Neodiprion lecontei: one gene and its partner. The main gene of each other region encodes a partner of the protein of the gene in region 2 in a complex. Links are inferred from orthologs where the notes say so. Each region holds a gene or a part of one and is shown on either strand. Other genes may lie near its edges.

Evidence for each region. Proteins that work in one complex are often made in the same cells at the same time.
Region 1: pre-mRNA-processing factor 17 (region 2) and pre-mRNA-splicing factor RBM22 share a complex: the UniProt entries of both Homo sapiens proteins name them as parts of the postcatalytic spliceosome P complex. The link is inferred for Neodiprion lecontei from reciprocal best matches to the Homo sapiens genes CDC40 and RBM22.

What each region holds. Positions count from the first base shown.
Region 1 is NC_060262.1:27,059,808-27,064,084, reverse strand, and holds pre-mRNA-splicing factor RBM22, read left to right. Parts: upstream 1-1,820; 5' UTR 1,821-1,954; coding exon 1,955-2,008; intron 2,009-2,105; coding exon 2,106-2,159; intron 2,160-2,367; coding exon 2,368-3,483; 3' UTR 3,484-3,757; downstream 3,758-4,277. UniProt on the Homo sapiens protein: Required for pre-mRNA splicing as component of the activated spliceosome. Involved in the first step of pre-mRNA splicing.
Region 2 is NC_060261.1:15,302,072-15,307,975, forward strand, and holds pre-mRNA-processing factor 17, read left to right. Parts: upstream 1-1,749; 5' UTR 1,750-1,903; coding exon 1,904-2,104; intron 2,105-2,177; coding exon 2,178-2,394; intron 2,395-3,268; coding exon 3,269-3,595; intron 3,596-3,677; coding exon 3,678-3,892; intron 3,893-3,953; coding exon 3,954-4,217; intron 4,218-4,283; coding exon 4,284-4,417; intron 4,418-4,642; coding exon 4,643-4,864; intron 4,865-5,100; coding exon 5,101-5,278; 3' UTR 5,279-5,393; downstream 5,394-5,904. UniProt on the Homo sapiens protein: Required for pre-mRNA splicing as component of the activated spliceosome. Plays an important role in embryonic brain development; this function does not require proline isomerization.

The DNA of each region.
Region 1 (4,277 bases), on a different chromosome or scaffold from region 2:
AACCACGGAGCGCTTATCCTGGAAGTCGAGAAATTTTATCAGCGGACTGACAGCTACCGAATTTGGGGTTGCGCGAAAAACGAATTGAAATAATTTATTGTAAACGTGAACCAGGAACCACGGAGCGCTTATCCTGGAAGTCGAGAAATTTTATTAGCGGACTGACAGCTACCGAATTTGGGATTGCGCGAAAAACGAATTTAAATAATTTATTGTAAACATGAACCGGGAACCACGGAGCGCTTATCCGGGAAGTCGAGAAATTTTATTAGCGGACTGACAGCTACTGAATTTGGGATTGCGCGAAAAACGAATTGAAATAATTTATTGTAAACATGAACGAGGAACCACGGAGCGCTTATCCTGGAAGTCGAGTTTCACCGCGTAGCGGACCCGAAGCGCGGGATCCGGAAGGTTGAGAACCCAGTACTCGAAATACGTAGCGGACCCGAAGCGCGGGATCCGGGAGGTTGAGAACCCGGTACTCGAAATTTGCGGAGCGCGACTCTCATACGTCCGCTCTACTGCGCGGTTGTTTCCCGACTGAGGAATTCGGCTAGCTGATTTTGAATTGGTGACGTCACTTTCTGAACATCCGACATCCAAACTTTGGTTTCGAACTTTGATACTATGTATGATGATGTATGATGTACGATGTATGATGTATGATGTACGATGTACGATGTGTGATGTATGATGTATGATGATATGATATGATGTATAATGATTTTAGTTTTCACATTTCATACAAGAAATACACGCTTTATATCTTCTGCCGATTCCAGACTCAAGCGGCCAGGCCCTTCGATGGTCAGCCGTTGACTGAAGATATATCCTTCAGTTAACGGGTCAGCTAATAACGCTGCCGTTCTGCGACAGTTGGATGATGAAAAATTTCGCACGTATCTTTCAAATGTGTGTTAAAATACACTTTAAGTGTTAAGAAGCGTCGTTCTTTCTCTCCCTATCACCTTTCTAGGTCTTTAAATCACTGCGCAGCGTTAAATACTGTCTCATATACGAAGCATCCGTTTCATCTTGTTCAAAATTAGCGCATCCGTGATGTATTACAGTTACTCTGAATTTTTTTCCATCCGAATACTTTTCGAAAAACAATTCTGCTCCTCCACCCAACGCAGATACTTCACTTGCGACCAGCTAAAACAACGTTTCGATTCTATGCCTATGAAAATTCAAGATAGAGAGAGCAAGTGAAAAGTTGTTGGAATAATTATGAACATGAACGTTATGGAATACATGGAGCGCGTGTCGAATAGAATCCCATTTCGAAATGAATAATTCTTCTATTCTCGTATTATAGCTGTATTATTGTAGATAATCTAGTTTGTCTCCTGGACAATTATAAAATTCATAGTATGCATCACTTATTAATCGTTAATAAAATTTTACATGGACCGCATATACATATATACTTTCCGGTCTCTGCATCATTATTACATCTGATCTATTATTATTTATGATAATCGTCTATGGTAATATTCGGTAAGCACACGCAGGCTGCGTACTGGCTTGGGCTTACCATTGCGATGATCGTGTTACTCGGAAGGTGAATGCAGCCAGCATCATGTCGAAATCAGTAACTCTCTGATGATATGCAGCAAGATCTCACTTTTCATTCTACTGCGCAAGCACGGATCGGTCAGTAATTTTATTACTATATTTACGATCTTTTCGTCCCATGCGATGCTAGTGGCAGAGCGAAGAACTAATTGAAGGACGGGTTTTTCAGGACGCCGCTACTACATTCTCCTATGCTGTGTCCACTCCTTTACTCTAATCTCCATGGTTGTTACACCCACTGAAGTTATGCCTATGGACAGAGAAAGTATGTGATTGCGGTTATTTAGCGAAAACCCCAACAGCTGCGCCAGTGTCGCTAATCCACTTCCAAATTGTTCCATTTCGTAGAGTTCTTTAACGCTCGGATCTTGTAATGGCCACTTCCAAAACCACAAATACTTATAATAGACAAAATTGGGAAGATGCTGTAAGTTTGATACTATTTTGTATTGTTAAGTGATTTTTTCGTCAATGCTTCGTCTCTGTTGCAAATAGCCAAATTAATCCAATTCTTTCATTCACAGGAATTTCCGATCTTGTGTCAGACATGTTTGGGCGATAATCCGTATATTCGTATGGTAAGTAAATTATTTAATACATCAAATCTTTGTTGCATTACACCATCCCATCAGCACCTTAAATCAGCTAAAATTGTAATCACAACTGTGCAAGAGATTTTTACCTGTGTCAGTCACTTGAACCTAAACCTGTTCAAGTATTTAATAGTCAACATGAGATATTCTTTACATATAACATCTTGTTCACTATTTTGTGTATTTTTTGCAGACAAAGGAACGCTATGGCAAAGAATGTAAAATATGCATGCGTCCATTCACAGTATTCAGATGGTGTCCAGGTGCAAGAATGCGTTTCAAAAAGACTGAAGTTTGTCAAACATGTAGTCGTCTGAAAAACGTATGTCAGACATGCCTCTTAGACTTGGAATATGGCCTGCCAATCCAAGTACGAGATGCAGCGTTAAAAATTAAAGACGATTTGCCAAGATCTGATGTGAATAAGGAATACTATGTTCAGAACATTGACAATGAAATAGGCAAACTGGATGCAACAACTCCAGCAGGTGCTGTTGGTAAATCAGCTGCCGCCAGCGACTTGCTGATGAAGCTAGCAAGGACAAGTCCATATTATAAAAGAAACAGACCTCACATTTGCTCATTTTGGGTGAAAGGAGAGTGTAAGAGAGGGGAAGAGTGCCCTTATCGTCACGAAAAGCCCACAGATCCCGATGATCCATTAGCAGATCAAAATATCAAGGATCGTTATTATGGGGTAAACGATCCCGTTGCTGACAAATTGATGCGCAGAGCTGCAGCAATGCCAAAATTGGAACCACCAGAGGACAAATCAATAACAACTTTGTACATTGGAAATTTGGGAGATGTTTTAACGGAAAAACAATTGCGTGACCATTTCTATCAATATGGTGAAATTCGATCAATTACAATGGTGCCGCGGCAACAGTGTGCCTTTATTCAATACACACAGCGAAGTGCGGCGGAAGCTGCCGCTGAACGAACATTCAACAAACTAATACTGGGAGGAAGACGTTTGACCATAAAGTGGGGCAGGTCACAAGGCAGACAGGCTATTTCGGCCGCAGAAACAATCAAGGAAATGTTAGAGCCTGTTCCCGGGCTTCCTGGAGCACTACCCCCGCCACCTGAGAATATGGGCAACAATTTCTTCAATTTGCAAGCCACGCCAGGAATCATGATGATACCTCCACCTCCAGTAGCTCCACAATTTATGTTTACTCCTCCAATGGCTGCTGCTGCACCTATCTTTCCTCCAGGAACTACACCAATTCATTATCCAAGTCAAGACCCCTCAAGGATGGGAGCAACGCAGGGCATTGGCAAACCGTGGCCAGAAGAAGATTAATATTGGCATCAGTTTTAATATCGCTGTAAATATAAGACTTATATAATTACCTCTATTGCAAAAATAGCTTCATGCTTTGTCTTTATTATGAAAAACGAAGGGAGTTTGATAAAAATTGAGGAAACACTTGATAATTGGAAAATTTATATACCCATCTTCATTATTCACACTGTGGAAATAATAGGTCAGGTTTCACACCATACATAAACATTTACAATATTAAACTTCTCTGTATTAGATTACAAATAATAAAAACTAGAGCAAAGGTAAATGACATTATCTGTATTATTTATGTACCACGTCACTATTCAGTCTGACAAGATAGTTTTAACCACTGCCAGCAATTTGCTGCAATAGAGTATGAACGTAAAAATATATGAAATAATCACGTGAAATTTCAGAACATATTCCACTGAATTCACCTAGCACAATATGAAAGAAATTCAAAGGCCTGAAATAAGATGAGCAAGCCTATTATACAATAAAATACTTTATTCTGTAAGCTGCCATTAAAAAGATCTACATCATTACACATAATTGACCAAGATTTAAAAATTGTTTGCATATTAAACCATGATAAAATATATTTAGGTGAATAAATAATTTTGGCGTCGTATGAAGATCGATGAAAGAAGCGCGAGTCAAAAATTTGTAGATATAAAGATAAATTCGTGGAAGGCACTATGCATGTGAAAAAGTACGCACCCTTTAAAAAACATCATTTATATGTATTGAACATTACATGCCAAATCTGGATATCATTTCTGGACAGGATCATGTAACTCTTGTACTGT
Region 2 (5,904 bases):
ACAGATGTATTGTGCTACTAATGTGATGACTTTAATGAACTCTCTCCGCAGTCTGTGATTCAGCCAGATATCTGAATAGGATTTTGGTGGTCTGAAAGCTAGTATGAACATTCTATAGATGCAGGAGGCCGTGCATATGAGGTGTGAACTTTAGAACAGAGTCGTTGAACGGAATATTTTATTTACATGAATGACAATATGTGAATTAAGATATTTAAGTAGTAGTTCTGGTTTCTTTGTGGGATAAAGATTCCGATGAAAAATATTTTAGGAATAAATGGACGTGCTGTTATAAATATTACCGAAAACTTGCAGAGAAAGCTTGATTTGCAATGTAGATGCACTGTTTTTCAAATCAATAATACCACTCTACTTTATATACATAAGAAAATCAAGTTAAATGCCCTGGCATGAATGGGAAATACGTTTAAGGTTCTAGAAACCTCTACAATAAATTTATTAATACGCAGGTTTAACATACTTTGCGACAGAAAGCAGTTTTACGGATACTTCACATAAACTGATAACCCGCGTACAAAGCAGCACTGATAAAGGCAAAAAAGTAATGGCAACTTACCTGGACCTTGCTAAAGCTTTCGATACAATACCGCATGAATAATTACTCAACAAACTCGAGGCAACAGGAATACAAGGAACAGCAAAATGGTTTCGAAGCTAGCTGAAGGTGAGAACACAGAGAGCGAAAATTGGAAACACATACAGCGAGAAAACGAAGTTACTCTGCGGAACCCCGCAAGGAATTATGCCCTCAGCTCTACTCTTCAAGATTTATCACAAAAACACACACCAAACATGGACAAGAAATAGAAGAATACATTGCAAACAAAGTATAAAACAGACTACCCCCGCAAATGAAGAAAAATGAAGATGTACTCCTTCAAGAAATCAATTACACCATGGCTACTACAGGCAGGCAGAACACTATACGAAGAGTTGACAAATACAGGGATTTAGAACATATAAATTAAGAAACAGTTAACTTTTAACAAAAACAGAAAAAAACAACAATAGAAAAATATATTGTAAAAAAAAAATCTACACCCCATGCACCATACTTGCAGATAACACAATTAAACAGATAAACATCCTACAATCCTGCGCGCGAGTTTAGACTCATGTAGGAACAATTCACACTGAAATACAAATGTATGTAAAAACCTATATGAGGGAATAAACGATAAACAATAATTTCTTTCAAACTTTTCAGTGGACATTTGGCCTATTTTGAAAAATAGTCAAATTCTTCGATGCACCACATCGACATAATTTTGTGAGAGGAATCGATTGCGCACAGTTCGAATATGCAATCAGATTCTTCATCTCGCTTTTTTATTTACCACATTTCTTTACACTTCCAATTAGGAATTCTAGATTTTAAAATTCTTCGAATAAAAATGTAATGGACCTTAGCCATTGACCTAACCACGTGGGTTTCGATCATGTTTCGATGCGCGGCTTTTGCCATTGCGTCGGTACTCATTTTCATGAGCGACTTTTCCCGCTAACGGCGTGGCGATGCCGCGTCAAGTTACCATCGTGTCAATTAGACGCCCGTGAAAGTCCAGCCTGTAATCATACGACTCGGTTGGTAAATGAACGTGTCAGTAGGGATTTTATCGGTAATAAATACATTGCTCTGTAATTTCTAAGTTTTCCTGATGCGACGCCACATGCAAGCTGGTTGCTAGCGCCACTTTAAGAAAACTACACACATTCATTTACAAATACATTACAAATGCTTCAGAGGGTGTCGAGTTATGTTTGGTACTTTGGTTATATTTATTAAACGTCACTAGTATACGACTAACGAAATATTGTTTTGCAAATAAGTCCTGCTGGTTTATACTTTCTAAGTTAAAAGTTGCGTCGAATAAAATAGAAAATGCTCGCGCTCAAAGAGTATGTGAGTAGCGATGATAACAGTGAATCCGAAGAAGCATCAAGTGTCCCTGCAACAGAGATTGAGGTTAACGATTCGACCATTTCAACCGATGAAGCAGTGCATTTAAAACCACTGCCTGGAGGGAAATCCATATCTTCTCTCGCCCTCCAAGTCAGATTAGCCCCAGAAGTTGTTCCAACGGTAAATAAATTTATTTATATCACCTTGTGATTAAATTGTCATTGTTAATTATTACATTTAAATTGTTTATTAGGGCACAGAACTATGCGTTCGACACATAGATTCTACGTCAAAAGAGGTAATGCACAATCCAAAATTTGAGGAACTCTTTGCACCTGATGTAGGACCAGATAATCCATTCAAAACACAGCAGCAGAGAGCAACAAAAAACATGCTCTCTGGATACGTGGAACAAGCGCATATCAGTGAATTTCAGTTCGAAAACCAGCGTCGAACTTTTACAAGTTACGGTCGGTATTACCCATGACTGTATATTAGGGTGTTTTGATGCAAAATTTTTATTTTGAACTCTACCTGAAAAACTTATCCATAAGATAAGCAAAATCCTCTCCAACGGATAACTGTTACATCCAATTTTAAAAGATTGTTCAAATAATTGAAATTCAAAGATTTTGTATTCAAATGGTATGGAACAGATTTCAAATTTTTTTTTTTTCAATTGTCATCACTGAACTACGATTAGTAAACAAGTAAGTTCTTGACTAAAGTTTTCATTGAGTGAAATTTATAACTCAAACGACTCGTAAGTTGTGATACTCGGGTAAAAGGTCAGTTTTTTCCATAAAATCATCTTTAAATGTTTTTTGTGGCTAAATTACTGGCTTTACAATAAAAATCTTCATGGCGAATTTGTAGGCAATTCAATTCTCTATAAATATGCTCCGTGGACCAAAGTCTATAGCTTCAATAGTTCACAATTTGTAAGTCTTGAAAGTTAACTTTGTGTAGAAATTCATTTTTAAATATCTTTAGTGGCTAAATTATTAAGTGTACAACAAAACCTCGGCACTTTTTGGAAAGTTACATTCTCTACAAATTACTTCCACGATTAAGTCTGTATCATTAAATGCAGCTGAGTATTAAGAATTTGAAAAAATGTAATCTGCTCCATGCTATTTAATGGGGAAACTTACAATTTTGATAGCGACCTTTTCAAATTGGATTTAAGTGATATCTTTTTGTTCGAATTTTTCTGTTGAATTGTACAAGTTTATCAGGTGGGAATGAAAAAAAAAAAGTTCTTGTCAAACTAAGTTACTTGTTCATCAATTCTGCAACCCTTGCGAGTGAAGTTTATTTAACGGAAAAACTTTGATTCATCAGGGTACGCATTGGATCCCACAGTTGATGGTAGTACAGAAGAAGGAAAAACTCTTGTCGGCGCCAAAGAGGCTGCCGAAGAGACTGGAGCAAAGACAGTATTTGAAAATACCGAATTGAGACCTGCAGACAAGAGAAAAAGAAACAGAAACAATGATCCAGCCGATATTGAAGGATTCTTGGGTCCTTGGGGAGGCTACGTAGACGAAAGACGAGTGATAAAACCTACCGAGGAAGAAGCTGCTGAGCTTGAAGAAATCTTAGCCAAAAGAAATAAGAGGGGCAAACAGACCGAAGATAAACCACTTGAGGAGAAGACTGTGCTGCACAGTGAGTTTAATTTGCTGATGGTCATTCAGTTGAAATTCGCTAGATTGTGATGTGCAACACATTGTTATTCACTCTTTTTTAGTCAAGGACAGTGTGGATTACCAAGGTCGATCATTCCTGCACGCACCACAAGATGTGGGTGTCAATCTACGGTCAGAATCACCACCCGATCGATGTTTCTTACCAAAATCCCAAATTCATACGTGGGAAGGACACACCAAGGGTATTTCGCAAATTCGGTGGTTCCCACGAACGGCGCATTTGCTTCTTTCCTGCAGCATGGACTGTAGAGTCAAGGTGAGTTGTCAATAAAGCACAATGCCTCATACCTTAACTAACGTTTCATTTATTCTTACAGCTGTGGGAGGTGTACAAAGACAGGAGGTGTGTTCGTACTTATTACGGGCATCGACAGGCTGTGCGCGATGTCAGTTTTGATAATGACGGAAAACGGTTTCTGTCTGCCGGCTACGACAGATATGTTAAACTTTGGGATACTGAGACTGGCGCTTGCCTTAGTCGTTTTACCAGTCGGAAAATACCTTATTGTGCAAAGTTTAATCCTGATCCAGACAAGCAGCATCTGTTTGTAGCTGGAACAAGTGATAAAAAAATCATTTGCGTAAGTAATATGAGTTTTGCAGTATGAATTGACCCAATTTAATCAATGTCATTTTCTCTTCATTAGTGGGATATCAGGTCTGGTGAGATTACTCAGGAATATGACAGACACTTGGGTGCTGTTAACACGATTACATTCGTTGATGAAAATCGAAGATTCGTCACAACTTCGGACGACAAAAGTCTCAGAGTGTGGGAATGGTATGTAAGAAATGTGAGAGGTTAGCCATTTTCTAATCTGGTTTACACCACTCGTGAAATCATCTGAAATCTCATCAAATCTTAAAATCTTGTGAAATCATTAGTGATCTTTGAAATCATGTGAAACTTTCTAAATCGTGCGTTCTTGAAATCTGGTATACACAGAAATATATGAATGTGTACCATCAGGAATCTCAATATTCTAACTGAAAATATATTTTGTAGGGACATTCCGGTAGATATGAAGTACATAGCTGATCCAACGATGCACTCAATGCCAGCTGTTACTCCATCTCCAAACCAAAAGTGGCTTGCCTGCCAAAGTATGGACAATAAGATCGTGATATTCTCGGCTCTTAATCGGTTCAAAATGAATCGCAAGAAAACTTTTACCGGGCATATGGTCGCCGGATATGCTTGCGGACTTGACTTTTCTCCAGATATGAGGTAAGCCTTTGTGCCACTTGTACTTTACGTAAGGCTGTACAATTCATCTTAGACTTCGATTAATTGTTATTTCTAAGTTATCGATTAACTGAAAGGACCGATTTATCGATTGACCGAAAAAACGAGTAATTAAAAAAAAAAAGAACAAGATAATTCGATTAATCGCACAGCCCTATTGTAGGAATTCATTTCCTACGACTCAGTTGTGATACGCATCAACATCGTTTTACTTACAGCTATCTGGTTTCCGGAGACGCAGATGGTAAATGTTACATATGGGACTGGAAGACGACAAAACTGTACAAAAAGTGGAAAGCTCACGACGGTGTTTGCATCTCGACTCTTTGGCATCCTCACGAACCTTCTCGCCTAGCAACAGCTGGCTGGGATGGTAAAATCAAGTATTGGGATTAGAATCACGATTCCGTTGTATATGAATATTAAAATAAAATGAAAAAACAATTTGTATATTGTATAACTAAGTGTAATACCGAACATGTACATAAATCGACGATTTTATTTCTTTTTATACTTGTGTACATACTAGAATTCCTTGTAACTTGAAACTGTATCACTGATTCGTTATTCATGCATCTACTACCAATGGAGTTTCTTCACCACTATGGGATGAAGAAAATTGAGACAATCGTTAAAAGATGTGGACACCCTTATACACTTCACTTTTCAGTCAATTTTGGAAAATTGCTATTGATGCGAGGAAAGTTAAAAAAATAACCAACTATCGTATGGTTAATAGATATGTACTAGTTTAGCTGTATTTTAACCTTTGAAATTAGAAAAATTGTCCTTAACTGTTCAATTGTACTCATCATACTCGACGCAACACCTTTCGACATGTTTCACATGATTATGTCGAAACGATAGTGGAATTGTCAACAAACTTGGTACACATTCTATTTTGATGTACAGTTTTAGCAGAATCTAAAATAATTCAGTTGTAAACTAAACTCTGTCAGTTCTAAATTAAGGATGTGGTGGGTTCGATAATTTCAGTAGGTTTTTAGTAATTATATCGAATT